3 linked regions of the Ovis aries genome follow. The protein of the gene in region 1 purifies or fractionates together with the protein of each later gene. This does not show direct contact. Links are inferred from orthologs where the notes say so. Each region holds a gene or a part of one and is shown in the gene's direction. Other genes may lie near its edges.

What was found.
Region 2: the proteins of USP13 (region 1) and BAG6 purify together in Homo sapiens (affinity purification with western blotting; 3 studies listed by BioGRID and IntAct, with this or other methods). This does not show direct contact. The link is inferred for Ovis aries from reciprocal best matches to the Homo sapiens genes USP13 and BAG6.
Region 3: the proteins of USP13 (region 1) and SMC1A purify together in Homo sapiens (affinity purification with mass spectrometry; 5 studies listed by BioGRID and IntAct, with this or other methods). This does not show direct contact. The link is inferred for Ovis aries from reciprocal best matches to the Homo sapiens genes USP13 and SMC1A.

Annotation. Positions count from the first base shown.
Region 1 is NC_056054.1:208,163,233-208,166,788, reverse strand, and holds part of USP13 (ubiquitin carboxyl-terminal hydrolase 13), read left to right. Parts: intron 1-202; coding exon 203-356; intron 357-2,319; coding exon 2,320-2,494; intron 2,495-3,556. UniProt on the Homo sapiens protein: Deubiquitinase that mediates deubiquitination of target proteins such as BECN1, MITF, SKP2 and USP10 and is involved in various processes such as autophagy, endoplasmic reticulum-associated degradation (ERAD), cell cycle progression or DNA damage response.
Region 2 is NC_056073.1:26,726,082-26,730,275, forward strand, and holds the start of BAG6 (large proline-rich protein BAG6), read left to right. Parts: upstream 1-1,381; 5' UTR 1,382-1,635; intron 1,636-1,640; exon of another isoform or gene 1,641-1,803; intron 1,804-1,864; exon of another isoform or gene 1,865-2,152; intron 2,153-2,280; 5' UTR 2,281-2,293; coding exon 2,294-2,401; intron 2,402-3,416; coding exon 3,417-3,534; intron 3,535-3,647; coding exon 3,648-3,844; intron 3,845-4,081; coding exon 4,082-4,135; intron 4,136-4,194. Other genes in the region: APOM (apolipoprotein M), read right to left, coding at 572-935. UniProt on the Homo sapiens protein: ATP-independent molecular chaperone preventing the aggregation of misfolded and hydrophobic patches-containing proteins.
Region 3 is NC_056080.1:51,292,164-51,296,268, reverse strand, and holds the start of SMC1A (structural maintenance of chromosomes protein 1A), read left to right. Parts: upstream 1-1,270; 5' UTR 1,271-1,336; coding exon 1,337-1,445; intron 1,446-4,105. Other genes in the region: RIBC1 (RIB43A-like with coiled-coils protein 1), read right to left, coding at 523-531. UniProt on the Homo sapiens protein: Involved in chromosome cohesion during cell cycle and in DNA repair. Central component of cohesin complex. The cohesin complex is required for the cohesion of sister chromatids after DNA replication.

The DNA of each region.
Region 1 (3,556 bases):
GATCCCTGGGTCAGGAAGATCCCCTGGAGAAGGGAATGGCAACCCACTTCATTATTCTTGCCTGGGAAATCCCATGGACAGAGGAGCCTGGTGGACTACAGTCCATGGGGTCACAAAGAGTCGGACATTACTAAAATGACATAGCATGTGTGTCCCATGAAAGTAATATAAATTTACTGACTTGATATAATCTCATTTTCAGAGGAACCGCATTGGCTCGGAAAACCCAAGTGATGTTTTTCGGTTTTTGGTGGAAGAGCGGATTCAGTGCTGTCAGACCCGAAAAGTCCGCTACACGGAGAGGGTGGACTATCTGATGCAATTACCCGTGGCCATGGAGGCGGCAACCAACAAAGGTAGTGTTCCAGAGGGGGAAGTGAGCAGAGCGCTTCTTCACACGCGAAGACCCTCGAGTGGGAGACAGTGCGGTTTAGTTACTGCAGAGCTGTGTCTGGAGTAGACCTGGAAGGTGTCTGCTCTGCCTGTCTCTTCTCATCTACTCTTCAGCCCCCATGTGGCTTTCTCTGAGATTTTCATGGAGCCGGTTATAGAGGAAACCTACTTCAGTGCCTATAAGTTTCAACAGCAGGTTGGTTTAGAGTCAGTTTAATTTGGAGGAAATTATTTGTAATTTAACATTATCACTTACAAGTTGTGCTGTAAAGTCTGAGGGAAGTGGTCAGAACTACATTTTTTGATGTGAGCCATTCAGGCAGAGGTCTCTTAAAAAGAATCCATCTTTGGCATCTGAGCAAGGTGCCTGTTGTGGGTGATAAAGTATGGCTGGGCCCTTTGTCAGGCACCCCTTAGAAAGGTCTCTGGACATTGGAAGCAGGAAGAAGGCAGATACCCAGGTGGAGGGGGTGATGCTCAGGGGAAATTTCCTTCAGTAAGTCTGATCTGCTTCTTTTCAGACAGAATAGATGAATGATATTTCTTAGAACTAACATCTTAGAAGCAGAAAAAGGAGAAATATCTGCTTAATTGCTTATCTCCTGTGAACTAGTCATTTTTGTAAAGTTCAAACACTCCTTGGGTGGCTTTTTTATTCTCTTTTTGCAGGGGTGGTGGGTAGTCACTTTATTGTGTTAATTGGAAAATGATTTTAAGATGAAACAATTTCCATTTTCTCTAAACTTTTGCAGCTTTTGGCTAATTTTTAAATTCTTATTCATTACACAAAGTAGAAATGAGGTGGGGATCTGTGGTTTGGTTCCTTTTTAGCATGAGGCCTAATTGCTTTCTCTTGACTACCTTGGTGGATGCTGGCTAACATATTCTACTCAGTTCTGTGATCCTCTCTAAACTCACTGTTTATAATTTATAATTTATAAGTGGTAGGTAGCTATGTTTGTTGTTGTTGTTGTTGTTGTTGTTCAGAAAGGAGATTTGTAACTTAGTGTCAGGAAATTGATAGCTGGAAACACATAATGCTAGCATCCTAGACAGAAGTCCATCCTAAACCAATGGTGGACTGGGGAATGAACTGTAAGAGCATATCCAGATGTGTTTAAGAAAACACAAAGATACATCAGTGGTATATAAAAACTGATAAATCAGAAGTGGTTTTTTGTATCACAGAGGAGTTCCTGGAAAGGTCCATTTGAAATGTATAGAATTTTGACTTACAGGTGGTTTCTAAGAGTAGATCTACTGACTCTTGGGAAGCTCACAGTGTACTCACTTTTTTTCCCCTGGGTGTTCAGTCATTTGAGCAGGGATAGTGTAGAAAGCCTTCTGGGTTGGCTGCTCTGCTTTCTGCAGTGTCAGGTAACCCCGCATGAAGTTTTCTTGGCGGTGCTGGGTAGGATTGCAGGTCTGGTGCCTTGGGTAATTGTGTTCCTTATAGTTCATCCTGCTCCTTGGCCTGCACTCTCCATGACCTCTCATCATGGTCAAGGGCCAGGAAGAGGTGAGCCCTCGGATTTCTCTCAGTGTGAAATTCTCTGGTGTGGAGACTTTGTGATTAGAGGGTGGTTTGGAGTCAAACCAGTCTTGACCTCTGGATAAATGAAAGCCCAGGTTCGTGCATCGCTTACAGCACATGTGTAGTCTGAACCTCTCACCTGGACTGTAATTCACAATTCCCTCCTGTCAGCCTCAAAGAGGAACAGGCAAAAAATGAATGGCTTGATGCAGCCTGGCATTGCCACTCTAAACACACTTTCAGCAGGCTCCTCTGGCTCTGTGGAGGGCAGCAAGGAAGAAGTCCTACCCGCAGCCCAGAAGCCTTCAGGGAAGGCTGTTCATTGTTCAAGGGGCTCTTTCCTTTCAAGAAAATAAATGACTGCAGATTCATTTGTTTGCCCTTCTACGCAGATGAACTGATTGCCTATGAACTAACAAGAAGGGAAGCAGAATCAAACAGAAGACCCCTTCCTGAGTTGGTTCGTGCCAAGATACCATTCAGTGCCTGCCTGCAGGCCTTTTCTGAACCAGAAAATGTTGATGATTTCTGGAGCAGCGCCCTGCAAGCAAAGTCTGCGGGTGTGAAGTAAGTGTGTATGTGTGTGTGCTTGTGTGGTGGCAATAGGATGAGAAGGGGGCCTTGAGAGGTGGGGGCCAGTAGGGAAGGGCGAGGGGTGCTGCTGTACAGGTCTGTGCATGCTTGCTCATGTGTGGCCAGATGGGATTATGATTTAGACAACCCTAGTTGTCATAGACCTTGCTTGTATGAGGCCTATCCAGTAAGACAGGCTTGTTGTAATCGGTATCATGTGTAAGGGAGAGAATGCCTTTTTTTCTTTTCTTTTCTCTTTTTTACTGAGCAGGTATAGCCAAGAACTCTTGTGCCACATGGAAAGATGATATTAATGAAGAAATTCAAAAACTACTTATGACAGTCTTCAGTATTTAAACTCCACTGTGATAGATTCTGATTCCACAGTTAAAGATTTGACTTAGAACTTGATGACTCTGTTCCTGCCTGGAGACTAGGGGTCTCAGGGCATCTCAAAGGGGACCTCAGGGTTCCTGGGCTTTGTTCCAATGAGCTGCTAAGACATGGTCAGGAGATGTTCTATTTCTATATTGTGATCCTTCTTGTCAGGGCCATGCATTTTTTTTTTTTTTTTTTTTGCCTCCACTTGACACCTTAGTTGATTTTATACAGTCAAGTCCTTGCCTGTGTACTTCATGCAGCTGGAGAAAGAGAACTCACAATGGCAGAAAAAGAGGGGAGGTCTAAAAGTCTCTGGAACTCATTACTTTCAGATATTCTTCAGCCTTTTTTTTCTGGGCTCAGCCTGAGCTCTAGGTGACATGAAAGGCAGGGAAGGATGGATGAGCTACTGCTGGCTGTTTTTTTTTTTTTTTTTATCACAACTACAAGTAGCAGTCAAACCTGAATCGCTTATTCTCTGTGACCGTCATCGCTCAAGATTCCTCTGTTTCAGATGATTGACTTCATGTGTTAAGAATGGGAAAACAAAAAGAATGTTCAAAAGCTTTAAAGAAAAAGCCACATTTTCTTAACAATAATTTCTTTTAAAAAGTTTCTTCATATCCAGAGGAGATTTATAATAGCTCAGTTATCAGTTATCCATTGTGGAGTAAG
Region 2 (4,194 bases), on another chromosome or scaffold:
CAAATCATCAATCTCATAGGATTAGAAGAGCTAAGGCATATGAAGCCCTTAGCAAAGGCCTGCACATAAATCCAAAGTAAATATTCCCTATAATTAATAGCAATGTTTGTAAAGCACTTATTAGTCTCTCGTGGGTATTATGTTCTCAAGTAATAGGAAGTAGGCAAAGAATTGTCAAGAGGCAATCATTGGGTACTGCCAAGAAGATGGTACTTCCTGGATTATTTATAACCCACAGGCTGCCATAAAGATTTGTTCTGAGAGGTGAGGCTTGCTCTGCGCTTGCGATTTAGCTAAAGGAATAAAATTTGGGTGATGAATAGCTGAGGGTTCATTATATTTTTTAACAAAAAACTAAAATGCAAGCTATTGGGGCAGTAAAATAGAAGTGCTTGACCCAAGGGAGTCTGGTAGGCCTGATTTGTCAGTTCTGCCACTTACATGCACCTATATAAAGGGATGTAATAGATGTTGAAAGGCTATTAAATGTGACAGTATGTGAAACCCTCAGCAAACCGGCTGGCACCAACTAGGGGCTCACTATACATGTGCTTATTAAAACTTTCAGTACCGGGACTTAAGTAGAAGCTACAAATCCCAGAAAGGACAGGCACCGGAGGCAGGTACACCGGCAGCAACGGCTCTGGCTGGAGGAGTGGCAGCACTGAGGGGCCCAGGCCCTTGCCCGAGGGGCGGGGGGAGAAGAGGGCAGAGGGACGGTAACTATACCGGACCTTCCACCTGTAGAAGCCCTTAGGCGGCCCTCTCAATCCCCCAGGGTCAGAGTCTTGTGTTTCACTCCAGTCTGACCCCATGTTTCCAATTCCCAAACTCGGAGTCGTCCTTTTTAAGATAAAAGTCCTGAAAGGTCCTAAATCCTTGGTTTCTCCAAAACATGGCGTGTGCCCTCGGCCGCAACCGCCGGGGAAGAACATGGCGCCACAAAACGCCCACCGGGCAAAACCGAGGTCAGGCCCAACGACGCCACCGCACGTAAATCAGCTCGAGAACCACCTCCAACCGCCTATGGAAAGGGTGACTTCCGGAGACGCCGAAGGAGTGGCTCAACGAGGACGATGGTAAGAGAAGACAGGATTCTAGGTGGCCTGGACAGTGCCGCCTCAAATTCTCTGCCGACCAAGACTTCAGCATAGATTTGCGAGGCACAATCCCCAGCCTCCAGACTCCAAGATCCACACAACGGCTCAAAGCCTCTTTCGAGGCAGTGGAAGAGTCCCATCTCGTGTTTTTTATCAGGCATTTATAGCGGCCACCACAACCCCCCTATTGCTTAAGCGCGCGCAGGGGAGAACTGAACAGCGCCAGCTGTGGTGGGGAGGTGCCTAAGGGTGCACGCATGCGTAGTAGGACGCACGCAGGCGCAGTACGGTCCCCCGGGCGACGGCGGTGGCGGCGGCTCTTCGGGGTGCTCGGCTCCCTCCCATCTAGGCCGGCCCCGGCCCGTCTCGCCCCCAGGAACTCACTATTTGGGGCCGCGGACTTTCTGGAAAAGCCCCACAAAAGTAAAGCTTGGGGACCTGGGGGGAGCCGGAAGTACCGCCTCGCGATCCCCAAATACTATCGGGGAAACGGAAGTGGCCGTCGGTGGCAGGTTGGGGGAGACCGGAAGTGACGGTACCGTGGGGAAGTCGGGGGCGGAGCTGGGTGGTAGGGTGTGTGTGTATGTGTGTGTGTGTGTGTGTTTGGAGTGTGTGTATGTGTTTGGAGTGTGTTGGTTGTGCCTTTCTGATAGAACACCGAGGGTACGTGGAAGAGGGAGACAGCTCGCCGATCTAGCCCCCCGTGAGTGTTCGTCATTTCGGGTCTCTAGTGACTTAAGCGGGTTCGATGGGCGTGGCGTGGCGCGCGTGCGCGAAACCACTTTCTCCGCAGAGTCTAGCGCGACCCTCGCTCTCTGGTTGTCCCCTGGGTTTGCCGACTTCTCGAGCCCTTGTCCTACCGCGACCGGTGATGACACCGGTCTCGTGTTTCCTTCCTTCCCGTCTTCCTAGCTCTTCTGGCCCTCCCTTACTGTGATTGGCGTCGTTGAGCCCCTCCCACCTGCCGCCCTCCAGCTCCCCGTGCCGTCGATCTCTTACCCTTTGTGTTTCTCTCCCTGTGCCCCGGAATCAGAAGGGGGATGGGGGCGGGTGTGAGTGTGTGTGCTTGTGTGGGAGAAACTCTTTAGGCATGGGGCGGAGTCTCGGGCAGGGGAGGCTTCCGGGTATATAAAAATCTGCTCTAGGCGACAGCGGGCCTCCTCCTAACATTCTTCCTTAGAGAGCTGTCGGCCATGGAGCCCAGTGATAGTACCAGTACCACTATGGAGGATCCTGACAGCCTGGAGGTGCTGGTGAAGACCCTGGACTCTCAGACCCGGACCTTTATTGTGGGGGCCCAGGTGAGACCCCAGTACTTCTGGGAGACACTCATTAACTCTTCCTCTTACAGGTTCTTTGTACTGAAAGAAGAGCCTGATATTATGGTTTTCAAATTTTCTCTCATTGGTTCTTTTGTTCATGTTGTATCCAGAACATTTTCTGATGTTTCCTCTTTGGCTTTTGTTGGGTGAGGTAGATTTTCTTTGCCTTCCTCCACCTCGATAAAACTCAATGCAGAGGGAAAGAAAGAAGGAGGAATCTGTATGCCAACATGATAGATGAACCCCAGCCCAAAGGGACAGATGTGGCTCCTGCCTTTGGGAAGGCAAACAGAACACTAGGACCTAAAGTAGAAGAGTGTCTTAAAAACTGATGAGGTCTATGCTGTGTTTTTAAAGGATAGGAGTCGGATCCCATAATGCTCATAATGCAGGTAGATCCTTAATAGACAAAACCGTAAGGAGGTTGATCCATAGTTTTAAACACATTGTTTCGTGTATTTAATGAGACTGTGTAGGCTTTTGTGATTAGGTGTTTGTAAACAGCTGGATACTTCTCACAAGTCAGTTGTCTAGTTAGGAAAAATATTTTTCTGACTTTGCCCCTTTTTCTTCTTGCTTGAGTCTGCCTTCCTTAACCTGATTCTCTACCGCATCTTCTTTGTCATTGCTTTTATCTTTAAGGTTACAGTGTTGTATCATTTTGTGTTTGTGGAGGGGTCACCGGTATCTCTAGGCACACACATTCCTTTTGGAGCCAGGCAGAGAGGGAGAGAAGAGAATGTCAGTTGGTGTTTCTGGTCTTCAGCCCTGTAGTTTTCTCCTGGGCCTGTACCTGAAGTTCGTTACGTTTATTGTATGTATTTTGACAAGTGTTGCCCTAGTTCAGGGCTTTGCTCAATAATTACCTCACAATTAAGACAGGTGGGTAGTAATTTTAGGATGGGATGGTTTTTACCCCTTACAAGTCAGCTGTCCCCCTTCTGTCCTTTTTCTTCCACCCCCGATTCCTCGTCATGTTTCTTCTTCCCTACAGATGAACGTAAAGGAGTTTAAGGAACATATTGCTGCTTCTGTTAGCATCCCATCTGAGAAACAACGGCTTATCTACCAGGGACGAGTTCTGCAGGATGATAAGAAGCTCCAAGAATACAGTAAGGGGGTGGGGGAGGCAGAGCAGAGCTTGAGGCTGCTGTCCAGAGCAGTGAGCTGAGGCCAAGGGTTTCCCTGATCATGTAATGTTTTGGTGTGTATCTTTTTTCTGCAGATGTTGGGGGAAAGGTTATTCACCTTGTGGAACGGGCTCCTCCTCAGACTCAGCTCCCTTCTGGAGCATCTTCTGGAACAGGGTCCACCTCAGCCACCCATGGTGGGGGACCCACGCCTGGTACTCGGGGGCCTGGGGCCTCTGTTCATGACCGGAATGCCAACAGCTATGTCATGGTTGGAACCTTCAATCTTCCCGTAAGCTTGTGTTCCTCACGGGAGGGTTTTTGTGGGGTCAGTTTTGGTTGTGGTAGCAGCCAAGAGTTCATAAGAGAGGTGTGTCAGTCTTTAGAAGGGCTTTGGTGGGCTCTCTGGTCTGGTAACAGCCTCTGTCTTTGATAATCTAGAGGGGTCGGGCACCAGAGAATCAGTTGGAAGCGTGGGGGCCTTAGTATTTGGCTTCTCCCAGAGCAACTTCCCTTACCCTTTCCTCAGAGTGACGGCTCTGCTGTGGATGTTCACATCAACATGGAACAGGCCCCAATTCAGGTATCACAGGGCCTGGGAGGGTCAAGGAAGGGGATCTGGGAGAAGGAGGCCACAAAGTG
Region 3 (4,105 bases), on another chromosome or scaffold:
TTGTCCTAAGACTCTTCCCAGCCTCCAGACATCGTTTAAAAAATAGTTACAGGAATGGCTGTAGCAGCCACCAGACCCTTTCCATGTCTAAGTCTAAGCACTGACGCCAGCTTGCTTATATTCCATCTGTCACCACAATATAAGGTCAAACTGAAGGGGAAGATTCTACAGCTTCTTGAACTGCTAACATTATGGCTTAATAAAGAGCAGGTAATAAGGTAAGGGGGGATGATGGGATGAAGCAGAGGGATAGAAAAGATGGGAAACAGGGGAAAGGGACAGAAAGGTCAGGGGCAGAGGGGGAAAAGAGGAAGGAGGAAAACCGGGTGGTTGATAGGGGTGGAGGACAGAGCAGAGAAAAGGAAGGGAAGCAAGGGACTGGGCAGAGGGGGGATGGAGAGGAGGGAATGGGATGGGAGTGAGGCATGAAAAGACAGAGATGAAGAGGGGGAAGGGAAGAAGGATAAGAGGTGGAGAGCACAGGCTTAGGGACCCTGACTCCCAGGGGTTCACACAAAATACCTTTTTCATCAAGGAGTCCCAATTGTGAAGCTCCCAGGTTAGGTCCAAGACTATAGTGGCAGTCTCTGAACTCTGCTTGGAGAAGAAGGAGGGAGGCGGGGCGGGGGGGGGGCGGGTAGGGGTAGTACCTCTGGCCACAGTTGGGGAAAACTGTGGCTCCAGAGTTCCCCTTCTCCATTCACACCTCATCCCCCTTAACACCCTATCCCATGTATAACTCCACCCCACTCCAATTCCAACCTCAGCAAGATTTGAGCTCCTCTAACACGGAATCCTCCTGCTTGCCCCTCCTTCCTCCCCTCCCTGGGGTCTTTCCAATTCCCGACCCTTTTCTTGTCTGAACCTTCCCGCCGGCCAGGCAAAAGCTGCAGCCGAGCTCCCACCTTACTCTTGCCCTGGAGGGCATAACCCTCCTGTGACTTCTGACTTGTCTCAGCAAGGGTCGGCCTCGTCAGCCAGCTTTCCGGGATCCTCAAAGCTGCAGACACCTCACTGCACTGCTTGCCTCCTCAACTACGAGGTCGCCTGTAGCGGCGGTTTGAAATTGCCATGCAACAAGAAAAGGGGGCGGGGCCCGAACGCCAGTCGTAACCTCGCGCCTTGGCAACCGATCAACAAAACCGCCACATCCGTCCGAATGCCCCGCCCCTTGGTTCCATCCTGCGCCGGAAGTCGAAAATCCCGTTCGGCCTGGACTTATTCTCGCGAGGTTTGCTGTCCGCCCGGCCTGCACTGCGGTGTTTCCCGCGCGGGCTATCCCAGTTGGCGGGCGAACGGCGCGGCCTTTCTTAGCGCCGGCGGCGCTGCCGCAGTCATGGGGTTCCTGAAGCTGATTGAGATCGAGAACTTTAAATCGTACAAGGGTCGGCAGATTATCGGACCATTTCAGAGGTTCACCGCCATCATTGGACCCAATGGCTCTGGTGAGATAAGCCCGGCTGCGGCCCTGCGCACGTCCCAGCCTGGACCCCCTGTCCGCAGCAGAGTAGTACAACCCAGGCTTTGCAACCTAGGAGGTTCCTTGCCCTTCTAAGTGTTCGATCCTGACCCGCTTTTCCCGCTTGGGTGCTCTGATTCGAACCTCTTCCCCAGATGTCACTTGCCCGCTCTTTGCGTGACCCCCGTCCCGGCCTGAGTGGTACGGGCCGAGCTGTACGTTACCCCGCCCACTGCCCCCTGCCTCCAGAAGTGGCGCGTCCGGAGCATGCTTCCAGTCGCGGGCCACGCAATTCCTCGCCGGCGCAGCTGCATCCGGCCCCCACACATTGTTTTAACCACCGGGAAGCTCGTGGCCCTCTCCTGGCCTCTGGGCCAAATGGTATACTTCTGCTTCATCCCAGCGCCTCCTCCCGTCTCGCGTTGGTACACTCCAATTCCTTTTTTTTTTTTTTTTTTTAAACTCTTCTCTGGAGGCGGCACTTTTGAATTTCGAACTCCGTGCTCCAGTCTCGGTAGTGCTTGGGGTCTTGAACTCCCCCATCCTCAACTGAGAAGTGGGGATGCCTCGAATTCGCCCCTTTCCTACCACTGAAACCGTCGAAAGTCAGGAGTCTTTAGCTTGTCAAATTTATTAAATGTTTACTGCTTTATAAGGATTTGTTCAATCAAGGTGCTGTGGAAACAGCGGAGAATAGAATAAGCCACGCTTTCAGAGAACTTATATTTCGAGGGGAAAGACGATAATAAAGGAGAAAATAAGTTATTTTTCGGCTGTAATAAGTGCTGTACAGGAAATTAGATTGATGTAATAAAGTGATGATGTGATAAATGACTCGGATGCCTCTTTAGGAAGAGTGGTCATTAGTTAACAATACTGTATTGTGTATTTCAAAATTGATAAGAGTAGATCTTTAAAAAGTCACAAAAAATATTAACTGTGAGGTGATGGATGTTAACTTACTGGGGCAGCCATTTTGCAATATATACAAATACGGAGTCACATAGTACACATGAAACTAATACAGTGTTGTATGTCAGTTCAGTTCAGTTGCTCAGTCGCTGTTGACTCTTTGCAACCCCATAGACTGCAGCGCGCCAGGCTTACCTGTCGATCACCAACTCCCTGAGCTTGCTCAAACTCATGTCCATCAAGTCGGTGATGCCATCCAACCATCTCATCCTCTGTCGTCCCCTTCTCCTGCCTTCAGTCTTTCCCAGCGTCAGGGTCTTTTCCAGTGAGTCAGCTCTTCGTATAAGGCGGCCAAAGTATTGGAGTTTCAGCATCAGCATCAGTCCTTCCAATGAATATTCAGGACTGATCTCCTTTAGGATTGACTGGTTTGATCTCCTTGCAGTCCAAGGGACTCTCAGGAGTCTTTAACACTACAGTTCAAAAGCATCATCATTTCTTCAGTGCTCAGCTTTATGGTCCGATTCTCATATCCATACACTAGTAACAGAAAACATAGCTTTGACAACACGTCGGCAAATAATGTCTATACTTTTTAATATGCTGTCTAGGCTGGTCAAAGCTTTACTTCCAAGGAGCAAGCATGTTTTAATTTCATGCTGCAGTCACCATCTGCAGTGATTTTGGAGCCCCCCAAAATAAAGTCTGCCACTGTTTCCATTGTTTCCCCATCTATTTGCCATGAAGTGATGGGACCAGATGCCATGATCTTCATTTTTTGAATGTTGAGTTTTAAGCCAACTTTTTCCACTTTTCTCTTTCACTTTCATCAAGAGGCTCTTCAGTTCTTTGTTTTCGCCCATAAAGGTGGTGTCATCTGTGTATCTAAGGTTATTGACATGTCTCTGAGCAGTCTTGATTCTAGCTTGTGTTTCATCCAGCCCGGTATTTTGCATGATGTACTCTGCATATAAGTTGAATAAGCATGGTGACAGTATACAGCCTTGACATACTCCTTTCCCAATTTGGAACCAGTCCGTTGTTCCGTTTCTGGTTCTGTTGCTTCTTGACCTGCATACAGATTTTTCGGGAGGCAGATAAGGTGGTCTGGTATTCCTATCTCTTGAAGAATTTTCCACAGTTTGTTGGGATTCACACAGTCAATGGCTTTGGCAGTCAGTGAAGCAGAAGTAGATATTTTTCTGGAAGTCTCTTGCTTTTTCTATGATCCAACAGATGTTGGCAATTTGATCTCTGGTTCCTTTTGCCTTTCCTAAATCCAGCTTGAACATCTGAAAGTTCTTGGTAAATGTACTGTTGAAGCCTAGCTTGGAGAATTTTGAGCATTACTTTACTAGCGTGTGAGATGAGTGCAATTGCGCGGTAGTTTGAACATTCTTTGGCATTGCCTTTCTTTGGGATTGGAATGAAAGCTGACCTTTTTCCGGTCCTGTGGCCCCTGCTGAGTTTTCCAAATTTGCTGGCATGTTGAGTGCATCACTTTAACAGCATCATCTTTTAGGATTTGAAATAGCTCAACTGTTATTAAAACTGGGGGGAAAAGGAAAAAGGAAGAAAGAGTAGTCAGGTAAAGTCTCTATTTCATATCTAAATTCCCTGTCTAAATTATACACCAAGGATTCCTCCTGTCTGCCCACGTTAGCTATCTATTTGGAATCCTGCTGTGTTCCTCCACCTCAGAGGTGTTCTAGCTAAATCACTTCCTAGCCTGAG